2 linked regions of the Caenorhabditis elegans genome follow. The protein of the gene in region 2 purifies or fractionates together with the protein of the main gene of each other region. This does not show direct contact. Each region holds a gene or a part of one and is shown on either strand. Other genes may lie near its edges.

What was found.
Region 1: the proteins of vab-2 (region 2) and wrk-1 purify together in Caenorhabditis elegans (affinity purification with western blotting, with the first as the bait; one study listed by BioGRID). This does not show direct contact.

Annotation. Positions count from the first base shown.
Region 1 is NC_003284.9:8,385,375-8,397,863, forward strand, and holds wrk-1 (Ig-like domain-containing protein), read right to left. Parts: upstream 7,209-12,489; 5' UTR 7,208-7,208; coding exon 7,124-7,207; intron 7,079-7,123; coding exon 6,932-7,078; intron 6,850-6,931; coding exon 6,744-6,849; intron 5,984-6,743; coding exon 5,832-5,983; intron 5,733-5,831; coding exon of another isoform or gene 5,727-5,732; coding exon 5,576-5,726; intron 5,249-5,575; coding exon 5,225-5,248; intron 5,003-5,224; exon of another isoform or gene 4,741-5,002; intron 4,369-4,740; coding exon 4,238-4,368; intron 4,185-4,237; coding exon 4,019-4,184; intron 3,931-4,018; exon of another isoform or gene 3,781-3,930; intron 3,562-3,780; coding exon 3,244-3,561; intron 2,670-3,243; coding exon 2,590-2,669; 3' UTR 2,072-2,589; downstream 1-2,071.
Region 2 is NC_003282.8:3,760,061-3,768,565, forward strand, and holds vab-2 (Ephrin RBD domain-containing protein), read right to left. Parts: upstream 6,767-8,505; 5' UTR 6,761-6,766; coding exon 6,654-6,760; intron 2,708-6,653; coding exon 2,442-2,707; intron 1,909-2,441; coding exon 1,522-1,908; intron 1,452-1,521; coding exon 1,372-1,451; 3' UTR 1,135-1,371; downstream 1-1,134.

The sequences.
Region 1 (12,489 bases), on a different chromosome or scaffold from region 2:
GAATTCAAATCTAAACTTTCTTTTTCAATACTAAATCATAAACTCATTGAACATTTTGTATAATTCTCCCGCTCTACACAACATTTTCTTTCTCGAAATCTGTGTCTCGTTGTCTGTAAATTCTCTCCATAACACATATGTAACAGAGGTGAATTTCGAAATTTACCGAGCTCGGCAAATTCGGCAAATTTGCTGCACGCATGATATGTAATCCTAAGCCCATGTGGTAAAACCCAATCTCGAAGTCATTGCCACGATCTTCTTTTTTGTTGCTTTTTTTGTACTTCTGATTCTTTCATTGATAGAAAAATAGTATATTTTAGTCAAAAACATGTCTCTTTCTTTTTAGACTTCCAATATGAAGGACAGTTAGACTTATCATCACTATTTCCTGAACAACTCTTCAAAAACATATGACCATTTTTAGGTCACTTGCAAAATGAAAATTTCTGCGTCATATTTCGTCGAAGAGGTTTAAAAGTAGTCATTTTTGCTGAATAAATCTATATGACTTTTCCTTTATTGAGTAGCTCTGTTCACTCCACCACAAAAATAATTATACCCAACAATTATCTATACATTCGAGTGGAACGATAGAAACGCCAATAAACCAATTGAGAAATCAAAATTCTAAACTTTTGAAAAAAAAAGAACACTATTTACAAAAACAATTCTTTTACAAAAACATCTACTATTTCGTCCACTTCTCGAGTAGGTAGCCCATTCGTCCACTGGTTTTTGTTTGCACGCCACCATCGCACAACTAAAGAGACAGAGAGCAGAGAGAAAGACGTAACACTTATACCTCCTACTGGTGGTCAGAAAATGTGGCCTTGTGGCCTAATGGATAAGGCGTCTGACTTCTAATCAGAAGATTGCAGGTTCGAGCCCTGCCTGGGTCAAATTTTTTTTTTTTGTAATGGATATCTAATTTTTGTCTCTTGTTTGATTTATTCATTTTTTATAAAATCCGGTTCATTTGGTGAAGAGAGCATTTAGTAATACGATAGTAACTAGAAATTCCCACTGTGCAGCGAAGAAAAGTTAGTGAATCCAACAGAGCCAACTTTAACCATTTATTCATGCGAAAAAAAGCTTTAAAGCAAAAAGTCATAACATATAAGAAAGTCATAAGATACATCCAGAAACATAAATGTCACCGGGAGTTCGTTCTTATTGTTTTTCCTTGTTTCTGTTTCTCAATTTTTCGTGTACTACGCAATATACCAGCCCGACCGTGGCCTTGTGGCCTAATGGATAAGGCGTCTGACTTCTAATCAGAAGATTGCAGGTTCGAGCCCTGCCTGGGTCAAAATTTTGTTGTCATTGAAAGAGCTGTCTCCAGAGATGTCAAATATTGTGCGAATATGTGAACTGTCTGGTCGTGTTCGTTTTACAACGCAATAGACAACGTTTTTATGACTACTTTCTGTCTCGTGGCTTCTTTAAAAGACCTTTTGATCTTTCGTGTTCAAGAAGATTAAAATGTTGGCATCTGTCCAATTGAGATATAAATTTAATTTTTATTGTGTAAAGAACGCGAAAGAACACAACCAATGAAATTCCAACTGACCATTTTCTCGTTGAAATATTCTCACTTTCTCTGGGAGCGATTCACCTTCATATAAAGATTTACAACCACGTCAATAATAGCTTTTCCTTCTTCGCACACACACCCACATTACCGTGTCGTCAGTGTAAAACAGTGAATGTGTCTTCTACTCTCTTCAATCGCACCATGTTGAAAATTATTACAGCTTTATGAATGTGTCGCATAGTTTTCTTTTTGTTATCATTGTTATCATCACAATGATACTAGCTGCGGGAGGCCTGGAAAGCCAGCGTGTTTTCGTTCCGGCGAAAGTTTTCAAAGAACAAGGCCTTGAAACTTGAAAGAAAAAATCTGAAAATTGTTGGGTAATGACTTTAGTAGTTTTTAATTTATAGAAACCGGTTTATGTTCGACAAGGAAAACGAAAATTAAAAGAAAAGTGCACTTCTTCACACCGAAATTGACTTCAATTTCCGTGAAATTTTGTGTCTGCAAAATTGAATAATTGGTACATTGAATTTGAACTGATCAAAGTTATTTATTTTGTAATAAAAGTTAAATAATGAAACAGAAAATATTGGATAAAATTTGATGAAAAACTGACAACATTCAGAAAAAAGGGCACCGAGTAAATTAAGTGGATTGGGAATGAGGGGGAAAGGGTTTTGAATTTTTTACATAATTTTTTAAAAGCATCATCACAAAAGTAAGTATTCTTCGTGGAGAGAAAAGTGAACAGTTTTGGAAAAAAGTGACAGAACTACGAAAGAAAGGATTGGAAGAAAATGGGGAAATTTGGGGGAGCAACACCGGCTCACATTCAATATGAATCTAAACGTGAGGAAAAATGCAGAGAAAACATATTTTTGAAAATAAAAATGGAAATAGAAAGACCATAAATCCTACTGAACACCCTGAATTTGGAAATTGATCTGAACGATTTGTGATCTAGAAGTGAGACATGGCAAATCTTTGCATAAAAGGAGGACGACAGAGGTAGAAAATACATACTAAATTGTTTTGTTTGTAATAAAATATTAAAATAAAAGATACATTGTGACTAATGTAACCAGAATTGATGATATGATAGAAATGATTGATGCTCCTTTTGCCTCCTCTGAAATGTTTTTCAACTAAATATTTCAATTGATCTTGTTTTTACTTGTTTTTTAGAACCTTGTAACTTTAATACAGATTTTGAAGCATTATTCTATTTGTAAACAATAGGGTTTTAATAACATTTTCAAATTTTTATATATGATTTCGCTCGGACTTGCCATTTTTAATGTCAGATTTGTTTCTCTAGCATTTTTTTTTCAAAAATGTTGAGTAGTCGACAAAACAAAACACCATGAAAAGTTTACAACAAGTTGAAGATTTTTCAAAACTTTCAGTCAAATTTGGTTGACTTCCTGAATTGTGGATGATAAAAAGTGAATGATAACAATTTGTTAATTGCAATAGACATTTCAAATATTTTTTATTTATGATAGTTTTAGTAATGTGAAAGTAGTTTTTAACAACTTTCCTACGGGTGCTATTTTTTAATACATTGTTTTTACTGTGCTTCAGTAACTTCACAAAACACAAAACCTTAGTGAACTCTCAAACTATCAAGTAACGTACACAATGCTAAAATATCATACAACTTTTTCGAAGAGTTTGTATTCTAAAAACAAATAAAAAATTACCCTTTTCAATTCTCTGCAATTCAACATGCAATGCGTCTTTTGCCATGCTTCCCCAACCCAAAGCGTTTCTGGCCTTCAACTGAACATGGTACTTGTTTCCGTGCTCCAAGAATGTGCTAAGATCGATGGTATGTGTCCATTTGTCATCACCATTATTATCGCTCTTCTTCACTCTGACACTGTTGCAGTCCTCCGGCAGAAAGTGATCCGCATTTTCTAATCGGTGGCAAAGCTGGTATTCGAGAATCTTGTCAAAGGCGCGAACAGTCCACGTGAGCTCAGATTCGTCAAAAGAAAGTTGTGGTGGACCTGGTCTTCCTAAAAGTTTTAACTATGTAAATAATTGGCGTTAAATGTTTTTTTAATCAGTTTCAAGAACTTTTGTCAAAGTTAACCAAATAGTCGGTCCGATACTTTGATTATCTTAATTTTTTCAAATCCACTACTTCTATAATAACTGAAAAATGAAAATCTATGCTTTCTGGACCAATTTATTTTGCTATCTGTCCCTTTTCATGTAAGTCATCTACCAGTTTACTATTCCATCCTTCTCCATCTCCAAGGTACTAATTCATTATGTAAATTTGTCGGGAGAAAGCTCATTCAAAAGGTGACGAAGTCCACAAGGGCCCGGTGCAAATAACAAGGACCCTCTTCCCCCACACGCCCGCAGGTGAATTATTCCTGACGTGTGTTCATAGAAAAGGAGATCCGGAGGAACAGAACGGAACGGAACGAGAAAATGATTGGCAATTAGTCAAATGTCATCACGCACCACTAACGTGCACCACAGCGGTGACGGATCCGAGTTTGTTGGAAATTCGGCACGCGTAGTCCCCGAAAGCTTCTTCGGAAATGTCGCCAACAGTCAGCGTAGACTTGCTGTATCCATTAAGCCTTTGAGCCGTTTCCGAAGTTTTCTTGAACTTCTCGTCATTGAACTGCAATGTATAAAGCATTATTCATCAGAATTCCAAGTGGTTGCGTGACATACGTTAATCTTGTAACCATTGAAGAGCCACTCGACTTGCGGCACTGGAGTTCCGTCATAAGTACACCAGAATGATGCGTTTTGGTTTTTGCGCACCGGAATGAACGTGTCCTCATTTTTCACCCATGGCTTTTCTGAAATTAATTCCCTTTTTTTTGGTTTTTAGTATTTGTTGGAACAATGAGTGAAACTGAAAGTTGAAATTAAATATTGTAGGGTTAAGAGAAACATAATGAACATATCGTCACATTATTGGAATATATGTATATGATTTCAACGATAAACTCATAATTTGAACAGCGCCAACTTCCCATTTTTGGAAATACAAATCTCAAAGTATTCTATAAACTGAAAAAAGGTCATCCTGGGACCAATTTAGAGAGCTTTGTATCCAAAATATTGCAATGCCAAATCATAAAATATACATATCAATAACCTTCTTCCCTACTCCCAACATCCAGTTTCGGTTTCCCACCAGCATGCCACTCCATATGGTTTGGCATGTTGGATCGGATAATCGCAAATGCACATCATTTTGTCAAGCGTTCTTACCCCACCGACCTACAAACTGTCACCTTTTCGATCAACCATCTGTTGAGTTCTAGGATATGATGAGCTCACAGAGCCGATTCATCCTAAATTCTAAATCCCTTGCCTCCAATTAGGACTATATATATATTTACTGGATTAATTTCCCTCACTATCCCTATTGAAATCATCTATATAAACAAAAATGTTGGATGATGGGCAGTCGAAAAAGGGTGAATGGTTCATAAATTGCAGCTGGCTGGTCTCAGAAACCATCGCAACCCCTTTTGTTGTGCCAACACCTTCTATAGAGCAATTTGAGGGGGTAGCTCGACGCAGATGTTGTCAAAACCAACGTCTCAACGTCTTCTGGATTAGATGTTTAATGGATGCACGGTCACAATCACAAACACAACATATCACACCACATTGGCAATATCCGACGACGATTTTCATACTCACCTTCGCGTTCTCCTTGGAGCGGCTCTGAAAAAGAGATGAGTGATTGATGGCACACGTCACGTCAAAAAAAAATTAGAGATTTGTGGAACAAGAGGAAGAGTCTAATGCACTAGTGCAACACATGTTGTTTATCATTGGTTACACCACAAAATCTGATAAATGATTGCAGCTTTCCTCCTATCATTAATCTTTTCTTCCACTTTTCAAATTTTCACGTCTCAAAAAACTAGTCTTGTTTTCCATTACAATCGAAAAACATACTTTTCATTCAAAAACACCTCTGCATATTCAAATTTCAATTCAAAGTCAAATTCAAGTTCACAATCTCACAAACAAATTGAAAATGCTTACCAGCAACATGTATGTCAATTGTAGCTCTGTCCGATCCTGCGATGTTCTCTGCCAAACAGTTGTACTTCCCAGCATGGTGCTTCTTCACTTCGGTGATAACAATTCTGGCTCCTCCGTGCTCGCGCTTAATATCCTCTGGCAATTTGGCAGCCTTAAACTACAACCATAATTATAGGATCAGAGAAAAGGAAGTCAATGTTGGCAAAACTAGCAATTAGTAGTAAGAGTCAAGAGATTAGGGGTATAATGAACCAACCTGTTTGGTCCAAACCACTCCTGGTTTTGGGTTTCCTTCCTTCACGTGGCATGTGATCACCAGATTCTTTTCTCCAACCCGAGCATGATAGACACCAGTGTCTGGAGAGATGACGACAAGTGGTTTAACTGAAACTTGAGTGGGTTTGAAAACTGAAAACATATAAAAATATTCTCTACATATATTGAAAATATCTATTATTTCCCTACATCAAAAACAATTTTCAATGTGCAACATTAGACAAATTTTTATTGACTCAGGTAAAAATAAGAAGAAACAAACGGTTCCTACAAAAAATATTAGTCTATATGGAAAATCTCTATGTACACGTAATTCTTACTTCAAGCTCTGAAATGGACTTAAAATAAATATTACATAATTTAGGTAGCGCAACTCGTATTTTTCAAGAAAAAATGCGCTATCTCAAACGAAGTTTTTTTCTGAAACAATCACCTTTTAATTTCTATAATAACTTTACACGATTAACCCCTTTTGGCCATGTTCTACTTTTAATTTCATTGCGCAGATGTCCATGGCAGTGATGGGACCAGTGGAAAAGCATTATGTAATGACAAATGCCTAATAATAAGCGTGGCGGGGAGACGGGGGGTTAACAGAGATGGGCGTTTCAGATAAGCCATTTTGAGTGCACATTCTTTAGAAAAGTTATGGGTATTGTTGGTTTGATTGTTATTTGTTCAAATTGTTGTGTTTGTATTTTTTGTAAAGAGAAAAACTGTAAATTCAAGTTTGAAAAAGTTTTCTGTAACGTTTACACATTTTTTCACAAGGTTCTCTCCACAACTCAGTGTTTTAGAATGTTTACAATACCTAGGATTTTCATCATTTCCGCTCAGTGAGTATCTATACTTCCTCACTTTCAATCCAAACTCCCAAAACTTTCAAACACACCTTGCACTTTGATGACAAAAGTGACACTGACTTCCGGCTCTGCCAATGCGCACGAGTAGTTAGCCGAGTTGATTGGCTCGACTCTCTTGATGGTGAGCACAGATGTCTGAAGAAATTTCGAATAAAGAAGAAAGACTAAACTTAGTTAAGCCCTTGATCCTAATCAAGTGTAAATTAAATCTAGTTACCGAGCCTTCCATCGAGATTTCGTATCCTCCGTAGGTGTCGAGAATCTCATCGTCAACAGCGACGACTTCTGTGTTCTTCCTCCAAATAATTGCAACCGATGGGTCCTCAACTTCGCATCTCAAGGTGAGAGATTCTCCTTCTTTTGCCTTCAATTTTTCAATTACTTGAGCATAAAAAAAATAACAGCTTACAATTAATGTTCCACCTTTTGTCCTAATTTGAGCACTTGTCGATGCTATCAAAAGTCCAAGAATCAGCAGAACCAATTTCATCATGCTGAAAAAAGAAAATGTTGAAAAAAAAAGAAGTTCACATTCAGAGAGAAAAAAAAATAGAAGAGATATCGAGAAAAGAAAATAAACAAGCTAGAAACCCGATGTTGCCAATTTTTAATTATTAACAATTACAACTGTCTTACTCCCTATTCCCCTCTGTTTTACAGCCACTCTCCCCCTCTTATCAACACAGTTCTGTACAGCGTGCTCTCTTGTCTCTGGCATCTAGAGTACTACAGTGACTCAGACTCAGTGGGGGCCAGTCCTATTGACCAAAACTATCAGAAGGAGAAATGAGGGGCAGCCGCCTAGTCAGTTGTAAAATTCGGTCGTGATTTGCTCATCCTCCTCCTTCAGGCCATTCTGTCATAAAAGGACAACAACAGAAGCAGAAAGGAAAGAAGAAGAAGGGGTTTGGTTATGCATAGTGAGACGAAAGTGGCGATATGAATTAGGGACATTTACGATTCCCTTGATGATTCCTCTGGAGGTCTGGAGCAGTATTCATTCTCATTTCAGAGCACTGATTTCGTAAATGGGCGGGACAAGTTAGCGTGGGAGTGAATTAATAATAATTGAAAGCTGACACTTGCAAAACAAAATTTGTTTAGCTAATGGTTTAGTAATACTACGGTTTGGTTTGATTTACCAGAAACTAAATTATTTCTGCAAAAAAGCTAGCACGAAAGTGTCGAGTTTCTAGAGTTGTGTTTATATCAGTTTATCAACATTCTGTGGTCCTGAACACTATTTGTCCATACGACCGGGTTCAGAGGGGATTGATGATAAGAATGTGGTTGTGGTGAGAGTATTAACACATTATCGCATGTGCTAGAAACTCCGCCCATTATACGGAGCAAAAAAAACATTGAAAACAGTGCCAACTGGAGCAATGGAAAAATCTGCGTGGGTGCCGATTGGGGAACTTTTTCGACTTATATTTTTATCGAACTTGTGAGAGCAAGATGAACTGGGATGTGGCAGAGAAATAAAAATCCACGTTCACTTTTTCAAGATAGCATATCACACTGCAATCGCGAGATATATAATAAAATCATGTGAACATCACATCATAGAGCATTTAGTACTAGCAAATATCGAAAGTGTGAAGCGAAAGCGTGGCTTCGCTCATTCCAATAAACGCCTTTTAAATTGATGAGCCTCAGAGATTGGATGCCCATATGAAGGGTGCTGCACGAAAAAGGCGGGGCCTGTTTGGGGTGGTCTCTTGACTAATTGTACTGGTAGTGGGGGGGGGGGGGGGGCTAAGGTCGCGCTGGACGACTCAATCAGTACACCCACTAACTGAGAAATAAAGCATTGGAGCATCTCATTTTGAGAAGAAGCAACAAAAAAGGAGAAAAGTTGCATAATACCTATGGAATATGGGAGAAAGATGAAGAAGAAAACAAAACGAGGGCTTGCTTTTCCTAGTACTTAGATTAGACTGACTTTTTTTCTCTCAGAAATGACAAAAACAAGCCTTAAGAGTCAATTGCAAATAAGACAAAGTGCAAGAAAAGGGCAAAGGGTGTATAATTCTTGATTTTAAAATTTAACCAGCGGAAACCAAATGGGAATTAAAATTAAAAAACAAGAAGAATAAAAAATAAGACACTCAAAAAAACAGCTCCCCTTCAATTTCGAAAACCGGAAACGTCAAAAAAATATGGGTCAGAAAAAAGAGGAAACCTAAATTTATAATGTTCTAATATAATAAAAATTTATCTACGCCACTGTTTCTTTATTTCCCCTCATTACTCAAAACTGGATAAGAACAGATAGGCGTGAAAGTGATCGATGAGAGAACATCGCATCTTCGTTCGTCTTATTTTATGATTCTCTTATAAATTGCACTTTCATAAAGAAGGCGCCAAATGGGGAGCACCTGTTGTGATGGGTTCGAGAATGGGAAGACATTAAAAACGGCGAAAAAGACGAAATGAAAACCACCGAAAAAAAGAGAATGGCAGGTGTGTGAGATATCAATTCTTGTCTTGAAACACGCAATATATGTCCTTTGGGTTCAATGTCCTTCTAATGTCAAAATGTGCCAGCTGCCTCGAGGTTCACTAGAAATGTATTATAGGCAATTGTAGAAGAATGGAGATTGAAGATGGTGAATCAAAACTTTTAAATCTTGGGATGTGATTTTAAAGATGGAAGAGTCACTTGTGGGGTTTTTGTTTGGACGGAGTATCCTCAATGATGAAAGTACTAAAAAGTGCAGGTGGTGAATCTTATGAATTTAATAAGAATTTAGTCTGTTTAAAAAACGGGAAAACCCGTTAACACAGGGATTTTTATCATTAACTAATGAGTTTGAAAGTGACTGAATTTGGATTTTCCACGAAAATAATTGTAGAAGAATTTGTTTCCCTAAACCTAATAGTGAGAACATTATTCACGTTTTAAATAAATGAACAAATATAACAATTACAAATTTAACTTTAAAATGTGGGGTCATAAAACACAAGTACCGAAAATTCTAAAAAGTCTCCAAAAAATATATTTAAAAGACTTGTTTTTTGCAAAGAAAGCGGTAAATTCAAATTAAAAGAGTTTTTAATCTCCTATCAAATGTTGAATCGAATCGGTGGTACAATACATAATGTCATCTTCAGATTAAATATAAGTACACAAAGAAAAATGAGCGAAGTATGGGTAAAACAACTGAATTTTAGGAAAACTATTGAAATTAAACCTAATCTCAATCCTTGACAAGTTTTTACAACCAACGTGAACAAATAAAAGTGAGTGACCTCTTGAACAACGACACCGTGTAACTGTTTTGGGGGGAGGTGGATGGATTCTTGTATACATTTGCAACATTATGTTACTTTACCGTCACAAGACGGTGGATCGGGATGGAGAAGTGCGCGCGAGAAACTTATTATTAGTGTTTAATGGGTTCTACCACTTTCAATGGCCGAGTTCTCAATAGTGAAACGGGAGGGAGGAACTGTTTCGGTCAAGAATAAGGAGCGAGAGAGGAGGAAGAAATCCACGATGTTCATACACTGAATACTTTGAATATGCAAATATGGGAATAGAAAAAGGCTATTTTGAAAATAACGCGCGTGTTCGGTGGGTTTACGTAGGAGAACCTTGAAAATTGCGAAGTAAATGTTGGGACGCGAATGGAGAGAGGGGAGAAAAAAAAATGAAATAAGATTTTGTTGCATGGCACATACTTATCTTTTTCCCTTTTCTCTCAAAAAGGAGAAGCTGCAAGTGGATACACAAAAATGACCAGAGGGCAGAAAAACGGGCGGTGCTCACTAGTGCTAGTTGACTAGAAGAAAAAGAGCTGCTCAAAGTTTAAGAAATGAGGAGACGAGGAAAGAAAATGTGAAATGAAGAGTTTGATTGTCAGAAAATAAAAGTAGAAGTTTTGGTTTCAAGCAAAAAGACATTGAATCATACGATTTTCAGGCCGATTTTTTTATACAGGCGCAGCAAAACATTTATAGTCTAATGCCTATCCTCACACTTCCGGAATTCAGTACAAATTTTGCCACTTTCACAGTGTGGGCGTCTCTGTAAAACTGTCAAATGGAGCAAGGAAGCAGGAATGCACGATGAGTCACTCTAAAGTTTAAACACGTCAAAGCCAAACGGAACACCATCAGAAGACGGAAAATGAAAATATGTGTGTATGTGTGCATAAGAATGAGTTATCATGATGAAAAGTAAGTGACCTCAGTATTCAGCAAATGGTACAATGAGCTTCAACTCAATGGAATAAAACTACAAAAATCGTGATCGCGTACAGAAATTGGTATATGATTTTTCGCATTAAAAACCCAAAAGTTAAAAATTACAATATACAAACTTTCTACAATTTTCAATTTTGTATAACTCAAAAAAAAATTGAATGCGGGGAATAAAAGTACCATAAAATTTCTCAAACACAGTAGTATGTTTCAATTATATCATAAACTTTTATGATCGTCTGACACTTTTTAAAGTGGTAAATCGGTGATTTCACTTAATCCAAAAAACATCATACTATGTGGAAAAACTAAATTTATCGAAAACTTAAATTTTCTACACTCAGTTTCAAAACCTTTCAAGGATTTGAAAAATTGTATACACTTGTACTAAACTTGCACTTCGCGAGACATGTAATTTTTTCTTTATTTTATTTTCAATCATAGGAATCAAATTCTCTAAATGAGTGAGAATTCTAGTTTTATATAAAACGGAAAACATTATTAACAAAAATGAGCAAGAAACGGATTTTTAAACTAGGGGTATGCAATTAAAAGTCTTCCAATCTTAACAAATTCAGCTAGTGGGGTTTTTGAACACTTGTCGAACACGAAAAATTTGGCAAACTCAACAAATCTCAATATTTTAAAACAATATTTGAGAAAAAAAAATAGAATGGCCGAAAAAAAAAACACAGTTTTCCGTTTAATTTTGCCTGCAAACCATTCTGTGCAATTTCCAAAATAAATGATTTGATGAGAAATTCATCGAACTTGCCTAAACTGAATAATACAAAAGATTGGGAAAAAAGATTTCACAGCTCATTGTATTCGACTTGTAAGCAGTAGAATCGCGGATGGCGGTGTTTATGCAATACAGTGGGATTGAGGCGTGGATTAGGAAAAGTCTAACGGGTTGGAAAATAAAGGGTGGTGAGTATTGAGACGGGGGCCGAACAAACCGCGGGGATTACTGCCGACAACAGGGCAATTGTGTAAGTATATGGATGAATGTGTGTATATTCCTGTCCTTTCCGCCGATCCCTCATTCAACTTCAATTTTCGAAAATCTTCTTCAATTTCTTGAAATAAATTTGAAATCCAAACCAGAGAGCGTTCGTTTAAAGGATTTAGATGGATAACGTCCGTTGTCCGGAAGGACAAAAAAGGAGGAGAAGTGGTGACGGGTAGGAGTCTCATGCTTTTCCAAGGCCTTTTTAAATTTATGCACAAATACATCAAATTAATGAATGAGCAAAGCAGAAGCTTCGAAGAATAGAAGGGCATCGAGAAAGAGGTAGAGTGCGCAAAAACCACAACACCAAGAAGATCGGTATCTTTTGATGCCGAGCAAAGGGTAGGAGGGTGACGTTAAAGGAAAAGAAGGATTGGTGAAAAGTGAAATGTGTGAGAAATATGCATGTCTCTGGAATAACATTAACTCTAATATTCAAAAAAAAAGCAAGGGAGCATTGTATCCAGGACAAGCCAGAAGTCCATTTGTTCAAACTTTTTTTTCCAATTATCAATTTCAGTCTGCGTGAATTTTAGCAGGAAATGAGTTATGTT
Region 2 (8,505 bases):
TAGATCAAACGGGCCACCGCCATCATCCCCCAAAATGTCTTCATTTCACATTCGCGCGCGCGCATTGAACCCTCTTATTAAGGGGGTTATGATATGATCCCCTCCATCTCATGGATGCGCACAAGGAAGGTCAATTAAGTGACGAGCCGCATGTCAAAAAGTGTTGAATTAGTTATCAGCGATTTTTTTTTGAAAATTTGAACATGCAGATACAAAATATTCAAAAATGATGTCCCCTCAAAATTTGACATACTCAAAATGGTATTCAAATCGATTCTGAACCTCATTTCAATGCGATCTGCAAGATCATTTTCGTGTCAAAAATTTGGAAGAATTGACACATGTTATGGTGTATGCCGGCGCCGAATTAGTGTGTCAAAATCGAAAATTCCATATTCAAATCAATCATTGGTGGGTGAAGGTCGTCCTTCCTCAAAAATGCAATGAATTGTTTCAAATAACAGGATTTAGGCTTGAATTTACAAATAGGCTAAAGATTAGGCTGAGGTTTAGGCTTAGGCTTATGCTTCAATTTTCATTTAGACCCCCAAGCCTCCCCCGTGCCCTTCTAAATGCCCTAGAAGATGCGCGCGCGCGGACGGGATGCCGCGAAACGATCCACTTCTGTGATTTATTGTGGTAAAGTGTTTACACAACAACGACGAAAGTGTACATTGAGTTGATTTATATTTCGTTTCATTCAAATTACGGGAAGATGAAGTACGAATGAATTGGTGGAAGAAGAGCGATGAACTTTTGTGAAGTTCCGGTAAATTTAGGTTAAAAAGTACCGCTCGGGAAGTTTTCAGTAACCTTGAAGGGTATCGAAGCCAGGAATATAAAATCTAAAGGTGCTAAACCTTACAGGATGCTATTCATTAAAAGTTATAACTTTTTTCACAATACTTAGTATCCCACAATATCCTTATAGTACCCTTACAGTTTCATTACGGAACCTCTAAAGTACCCCTACAATACCCTTACGGTACTATACCATACCTTTTCAATACTTGGTACCTTTAATTAACTTACGGTACACTTATATATATATATATATATATTGTCCCTACCGATACAGTATCTGCCACGTACCGGCAGAGCTACTGTAGGGCAACTTCTGAAAAAAAAATTGGAAAAAGTTTAACCATTTATTTGATTGAAAAAATCACAGAAAACTAATATTCAGCTCATGTTCTAGATACCGGTATCAAGAGAAAATTATCAAAAACTTGGAGGGGAGCAATATACAAAATTGAGCACAATTTGGGAATAAAATGGGAACCCGTCAACGGTGGGAAAATGTGTGATGATGGGAATGATGGCACCCGGGATTTCAGGAGGTTGAAGGTAAGGAAGAACTTCTGTGGTAGACTAGAAGATCCGGAGCAGCAGGAGAGCCGGCAGTAGGAGCACATATCGGAGCCGTCCAGATGATGAGTACAGAGATTCTACTGAAAATTTGAATTTTTAAAATTTGGTAGTTGAAAAAATTTAAAAAAAAACGAAAAAAAAACGACCCACCATCTCCAATCTCATGAATCTCAAAATCGACAACTTCCGCTGGAACCTGCTCGTATTCATCCTTCTTATTCCCCTGATACAACGTAACCCGCTCGCCACGTGTAATCTCCGGCCATGTGTTATCAATAGGCATCACTTTCTCGTAAAACTGCTCCCACAGCTTTTCCGCCGAGCTGTCCATCTCGACGACCGGCGGAATGGTCTTCGGGGTGCTTGTGGAAGTACTCGTTGTGGTGGTAGTAGTGGTCTTCTTGTGATGGTGGCGGTGATGGTGTGGTCCGATGTCTCCATTACGGTCAGTTATGTGGATTACCATTTTCAGATTGTGGGACGCACAAAGACCGCCTTGCTCGTTGTAGAGACCCTTTCGGGAGCCGGTTGAGGTAGCTGGAAAACTTTTTTTATTTGTTTGAGCTGATGTATTTCGGCAGGCAAGAGAGATATTAAAAAGTTGTCAACTAACAAAATATAGAAAGTTTAATGCTGAATATTTTCTTAGTTGTCAACTTTTGTATATCTCTATTTTTAAAGAGATAGGGAAGTTTTTAGAAATCCTTGTTTTTTTCTTGTTAAAAATTCGTTGCCCCCTCGGCAAAAACTACAGTGACTCACTCAGCACAAAAGTAAATTATCAAAAATAGGAAATTTCATGCTCAATATTTTGTAAGTTGGCAATTTTTTGATAAATCAATTTTTTGAAAAGCTATAGGAGTTTTAAGGTAGCCTAGATTTTTTTCCTGAAAATTCTTGCTCTTCCTTGGTATAGCTTTTAAAACTACAATTTTTATTGGAAATCAAAGTTTCAATTCAAAAAATGTTTAAGATGTGTTTAAATTTCTCAAAATTAATATTTTGTTCCAAAAACTTAAAAAAAATTTTTTTTTGCGAAATGTTCAAAATTAAAAATTCCATAAACTCACAAATAAAATAATAAGTGACTCCAGGCCGATAATCCAGTCCCGACGGATTCGGGCTCATAAGCCTAAACGCCACTTTAAGCTTCTCCTCCTGATACGGCTGTGTACATCTTCCCAGTTCCTTTGCCTTCGACCTCCGTTCACAGTTCTCATATTCCTCTTCAGTCACTCTATAGATAATCGATTGCTCAGTGAGCTCATCAGAGTTTTCATCGAAAAACGGGCAAACTATGTCAAGGGTGTCTCCAATTGCAGCATATCGTTCCACTCTGCAAAATTTATTTTTTCGATTTTTTACCCTTGTTTTTTGAAAATCCGAACACTTCCGCCACCCGGAGAAAAAAGAGAAAAAACCCGAACATGCCATTACAAAAACGCGTAACCCTCTCACGGAACATAAAACTTTGGCCACCACTCGGACGCCAGACCAGAAAATGCAAAAGTTTTGTCGCCGCCGACAAATTACCCATTAGATGTCGGGATGAACAAAGCCTTTGAGGTATTTTTTTGAAAAAATAAACTAAATGCGGTAAACATTTCAAGGCTAAATTTGGGCTAAGCCATAGGCTTAGGTTTAGGTTTAGAAGTAGGGGTAGGCTTAGGCTTAGTCTTAGGCTTAGGAGCAGGCTCAGGTTTAGGCGTAGACTTAGACTTAGCCATAATATAGGCCTTAAGCGAAACAAAAGCTCAAACTGAGACCGATTGTAGGGCTCACTTAGAAATAGGGTCAGGCTTCATTTAAGAACAAGGCTCGAAATAAGGCTATGATTTACGGCAAAATTTTTTTTTGGCTTCGGATAAGGTCGGTCTTGGCTGGCATGCCTAGGCTCCTCCAATTTCAAAAATCTTCCGCCTCATTTGCCGTCCACATGACCGTTACGTAACTGCCAACAGTCTGCCACTAAGACCTCCCCCTCCCAATATTTGGATGTCCAAAACAGAAACAGTTAGCTGTCCAATTTGGTAATAGAGCTTCCTAATTGTTGTGTGCTCTTTCCCCACCCATCACGAAATTGTGATGAGCATGTGGGTGATGAAGAACAAGGGCTTCCTTCCTGAACAGCAGTTAGCTCCCGAATGAGTAAGGGGGGTCTCTAGAGATTAGCCCCCCCCCCCCCCACTCCTGCCTCTCGATTGATCGGCATTCATCAAAGACACCTGTGTCGGGCGGCAAGGGGCATGTTAATTATGTGCCCGTTTTGTAGATATTGGGGAAAAAGGAATGGACCGTTTTATTGGGTGCAATATGCTGAGAGAAAGACAATTTACATATTCGTTCCCCAGAATAGGGCACACATTTTATTGGGAATAGTTTGATGGGGTACTCAGAATTTCCATTTTCAGGATATTAACACCATTTACTGCCTAATTTCCGTCCAGTGTCCTATTTTGCCCCACCTAATACTTCCGGTGTTCCCCCGAAAAATATTTGCATAATAAAGGCACACCTTATCTCTTCCAAGACCCTTACTAATTTCAAAACATCTCACTAGACACCTGCAGCTACATGAGGTCAGCAGCTGGTCTCGAGTTATGTAACTGACCCTCCGGGAGCCCTGGTGCTCCGTGAGGCTAAGCTCTTGAGCCAGAAAGAAATTTGTGATGGAGAAACAGTATCGGTTTCGATGACCTGCGACATTAGACAAATAAGGAAAGCTCTCTCTCGTGTTTTGGGTATCCTACTAGCGAAAACATCTAGCTTCATCTCAAGTGCCCCACTCCGTAAATAGTTACTATTGCCCCCTCCAAATGTTTGGACACATAAGGAGTACCCAATTATTGGAACCACTTTGCACACTTGAGCATTTGCTGTCGGAGCTAATTTGACTAATCAACTGCCAATTGCGCGGTGGAATTTGTTACCGCAAATGTGGGTAGACTTAGCACCTTGTGCGGGGGATTAGCTCTCCTTTTGTTTGCCGATTGCAGAATAAAAATGTTGTGTCATAATTTGGATAGTGTTGGTTTACAGAAAGGTGTTGTGTCATTGGTTATTGTGGTATTTGGTAGGGGGTTGAGAGCTACTGTGGAGGTCAAAAGTTAACAAACATTTTGGCAAATGGTTGAAAACTACCTACAGAGAATCTTAAAATTCCCATAAATCACTAGAAATAAGTTTTATAAGTCTGGCTAAATTTTTGCCCGTTGACTTATTTTTGATAGGTTTACTGACAAATGAAATAGGGCCGTTCAAAAGTTTATACCACTACCATGGAGCTTAAAACTTATGTAACTGCCCTAGAAAATGAAATATCAAACTGTATGAAATTTGCCACATTTCGTTGGTCGAAAACTTTTTGACAGCTTCACTAGAAAAGGAGATATGAACGTATTTATAATTTTTATAAATACATTACATATTGTGTACCCAACTAGGTCATTTAAAACTCCTGCTCACCTAAAAACTGAAATTTTAAATAATTGTTTACTAACAAAAAAAAACTACGCCAAATTTGCTTTCTCCCAGTTAACATTTTTTTTGTTGATACCCTCATTAAAATACTTTTTTTTGGAAACTACTGAAAATTTCCTTGAAACTGGAAAATAGTCAACTAACAATGTACAAAACCAATAGTGTTCTATATTTAGTAATCCGTACCCCCTGTAATTGCCCATGTGCAAAGACCTGCTAAGTTTCACCCACACACCGCCATATCTTGATGCCATAAAAATGTACACGGGTTGTGGCGGCGGCGGTTCTTGTTTTGTATATTACCTGGAGCCATAAAATCTGGTCTCTCTCTCTCTCTTTGGATCATATCCGATTGTAAAATTCTAGTATTAACAACATCTATATTGAGACAATTATCGGCATGTTCTCAAGGTCTTTTTTTCCAATTCTACGATGCACCATGTCCCAGTACCCGTCTCTGTGGTCCCCGGAAATTTAAAGTCGTTTGAAAATGAATATGTAAACGTTCGAATTTCAAAACTTTGTCCATGTATATATATTCCATTTCCAAAAGTCCGAGGTCTCTAATTTCACTTGTGTCCACTCCCCCACTCCCCCATTATTTCATTCAAACTAATTGCTCCATTTTGATGCTCCGCACTTCTTTCCAACCTGTTCCTCAAAGGCATAAATTTCACCGGGAAGAGAAAGATATCAGAGAGGTACAACAGGAGATAAGACTCATAAATCAGGCAGCGTGTACTACTACAAGACTATGTCCCCCCCACTTATTACACTAAGGAGGTCCACAACATGTCATCATATCATCATGATGTGGAGCCCCCCAAGAGAGCCCCGCCAAGCTTCAAGATTTCATTTTGATACATTCACTTCCCATATGGCCCTAGAAGATGCCTATCAGATTGACAGTATTGGTTGTTCAAGAACATCTGCCCCCGCGGGACAGGGATAGAATATATTAGGGATTTGAGACTAAGAGGGGTGTGGAGGAGGTCGACGTGTGTGACAAACATGTGGAATCTATCAAGCCAGGATATTTATGAAGAAAAACAACGAGGGAGAGCTCATAAAAAAAACAAAAAGTGATGCTTGGAGGAGCACACCTGCAATCTGTTTCAGAAACACTGTTTTTTAGGAACTAGGTTATGGTGCATCGAAGAATGAAAACTAGAGCTGGAGGTACATGGTGCATCGAAACATATAGGGTATAGGGTTCTAGCGCCCCAAGCTTATTGGGGTCAAGGTGCATCGAGTAATGGGGACCTGGTTTTCCATAGCTATGGGGCCATGATGATCCAAGCTTATGAAGTTATGGTGCATCGGGCTTTGGAAAACTTGAGCTCTGAGATCCTAGTGAATTGAGCCTTAAGTTTTAAGATTTTGTGGCCCAAGCTTATAAAATTATGGTGCATCAAGACGTTATGTTCAGGATCCTGGTACATGGAGCTATGGTCTTTAAGGTCATGGTGCATCGAGGTAAGGTAATAGCTCACAAATCTACGGTTCCTATTAAAAATGAGAGCCCCCGATTTCTTAATCCTAAAAAGAGTATGCCCATCTGTTCCCAGATTAATTTTTGATACTCTATAACCTCCTCCCCGCCGCTCAATATTTGCTCAGTATGCACCCAGATAATTAGTAACATCGTTTGGTTTCGGCTTACTATGCCATGTACGGCTTCTTCTTTGGGACCCTGAGGGACTCCCGGCGGGGGCTTGTAGGTAAATATTGTAAACATAAATGTGTGGAGTGATTGGCGGAAGGCTTTTGATCTACTGGGAGGAAAGATAAAGTCAACTTACAGGGGATTTGTAGAGTTCCAGTAGATTTGCGGTAACCGTTTGGCGGAACAATGGACGGTGGTGAGGATGAACAGTAAAATTGTTTGAATTTTGATGGGTGGGTGCATTTTGTGCTGGAAATTTGAAATTGAGAGATTTGCTCTAATTGACGAACATAATAATAATAATTTATTACGTTCTTGAAAAAGCGTGAAAAATAAGAAAGATGATACATATTATGAATAGGAATTGGCAAAAATGGGAACAAATTAATTCAAACAGTGATATTTCCTGGAGTGTTCAAAATATCAAAAAGTTTCCAACTAACAAAAGTATCTACATAAAATTTACTACAATTTATTAAATGATAATATTTTGATACCTCTTACACCCGCAGAGTTGAGATACAAAAATAGGTAGACGCAGACAAACTTCACCTGTCTACTCTGTTTTAAATTCCCATAGTTCATTGGAAGGCAGAGGTATCAAAATGTTTTGTTGCAACAAAATATAGAAAATTTTATAGTAATTATTTTGTTAGTTGACAAATTTTTAATATTTCCAAAAATCGCGGAGATATGAATGTTTGAAGTTAAAAGGGTGAAAAAAAAAGAAAATTGAGGGTTTTTGAAATAAGTTTTTTTGTTTTTTAACGTATTGTTTTAACATGTATACTTGAAAACCAGATATTTAAACAAACATTTTGACAAACGCACCAAATTTAAAAATGAAAAAATTTTATACTTTTTTTTTTGAAATTTTGGAATTTTTTTTTCAAAAATCGAAATGTATTTAAAATTTGAAATTGTTAAAAATACTGTCAGAAATTATATTTCGAATTCAAGTGGTACAAAATGCCGCAAAAAAGAGGTCAAAAGAGGTCATTTAGGCCCCTTGAGAGAGGTTGAAGTGGGAGAGGCGAATTTTTTCAAAAACAAATATACAACAAAATTATAATTTAGCAGGAAGTTTAAGTAGATAGTAAAATGAAAAAGAATTAAATTTCAAGTGAAAAAAAATTAATTGAAAATTTTGGAAAAAAAAATTGAAAAAAAGGAAAAAAATTCAATAGGAAGAGGCGGGGACCAAATTTAAACAAAAAAAAACCATTTTCAAATTCAAAATTCTAAAAATAAAATAATTTATCCTCAAATCCTACCGCAACATTGCAAATCTTGTCTCTCTCTCTCTCTTTTGACATACACACGGAACAAGTGGCCTCTCTCCCCATCCCAACAGCCCGGTGCCCCACAGACTCCTCCCCCCGGTGATCCGCCTCTGGGGGTGTCTACCCCGGAGGCTGTCAGGAGAGTGGGGGATTTGCAAATTAATAAGGTACTGTTTTCTAGAGAGGTTCAAGAGAGCTCAATTGGCTCCGAGAGGGGTATTGGAATAAATTATTTTGGAATTTTTGGAAGCCCTGGGTCAAATGGGTAATTTGTAAATTGCCTTTTTTCAAAAAAAATTTTTTTTTAATGAATTACTTGACAATTATAATATTGTTTGTTGTGTAGTTTGTAGATTGTAGGGTAAAACATAGAACTTAAAAGATGTAGTTGGTTTTTGGTATAGAAAAAATAAAAAAAATTAAAATCAAAACTCTGAAAAAATTTGAAAATTTTATTTCATTCTGAAAGGTGTTCCAACTGTAATTGTAAATTGTAGTTTATAGTTTGTAGTTTGTAGTTTGTGGTTTGTAGTTCGAAATCAGTATTTTTGAAAAGAGTTTTTTTTTTCGAATTATAGAAACTTTTAGTAGGTATCCTGGAAATGTTAACTTTAAAGTTCTTTCCAGGCTGTGGTTTTGTAGTTTGTAGTTTGTAGTTTGCAAAAATAAAATACCTCCAAACTTCATCAAAAATACCAAGAGGTT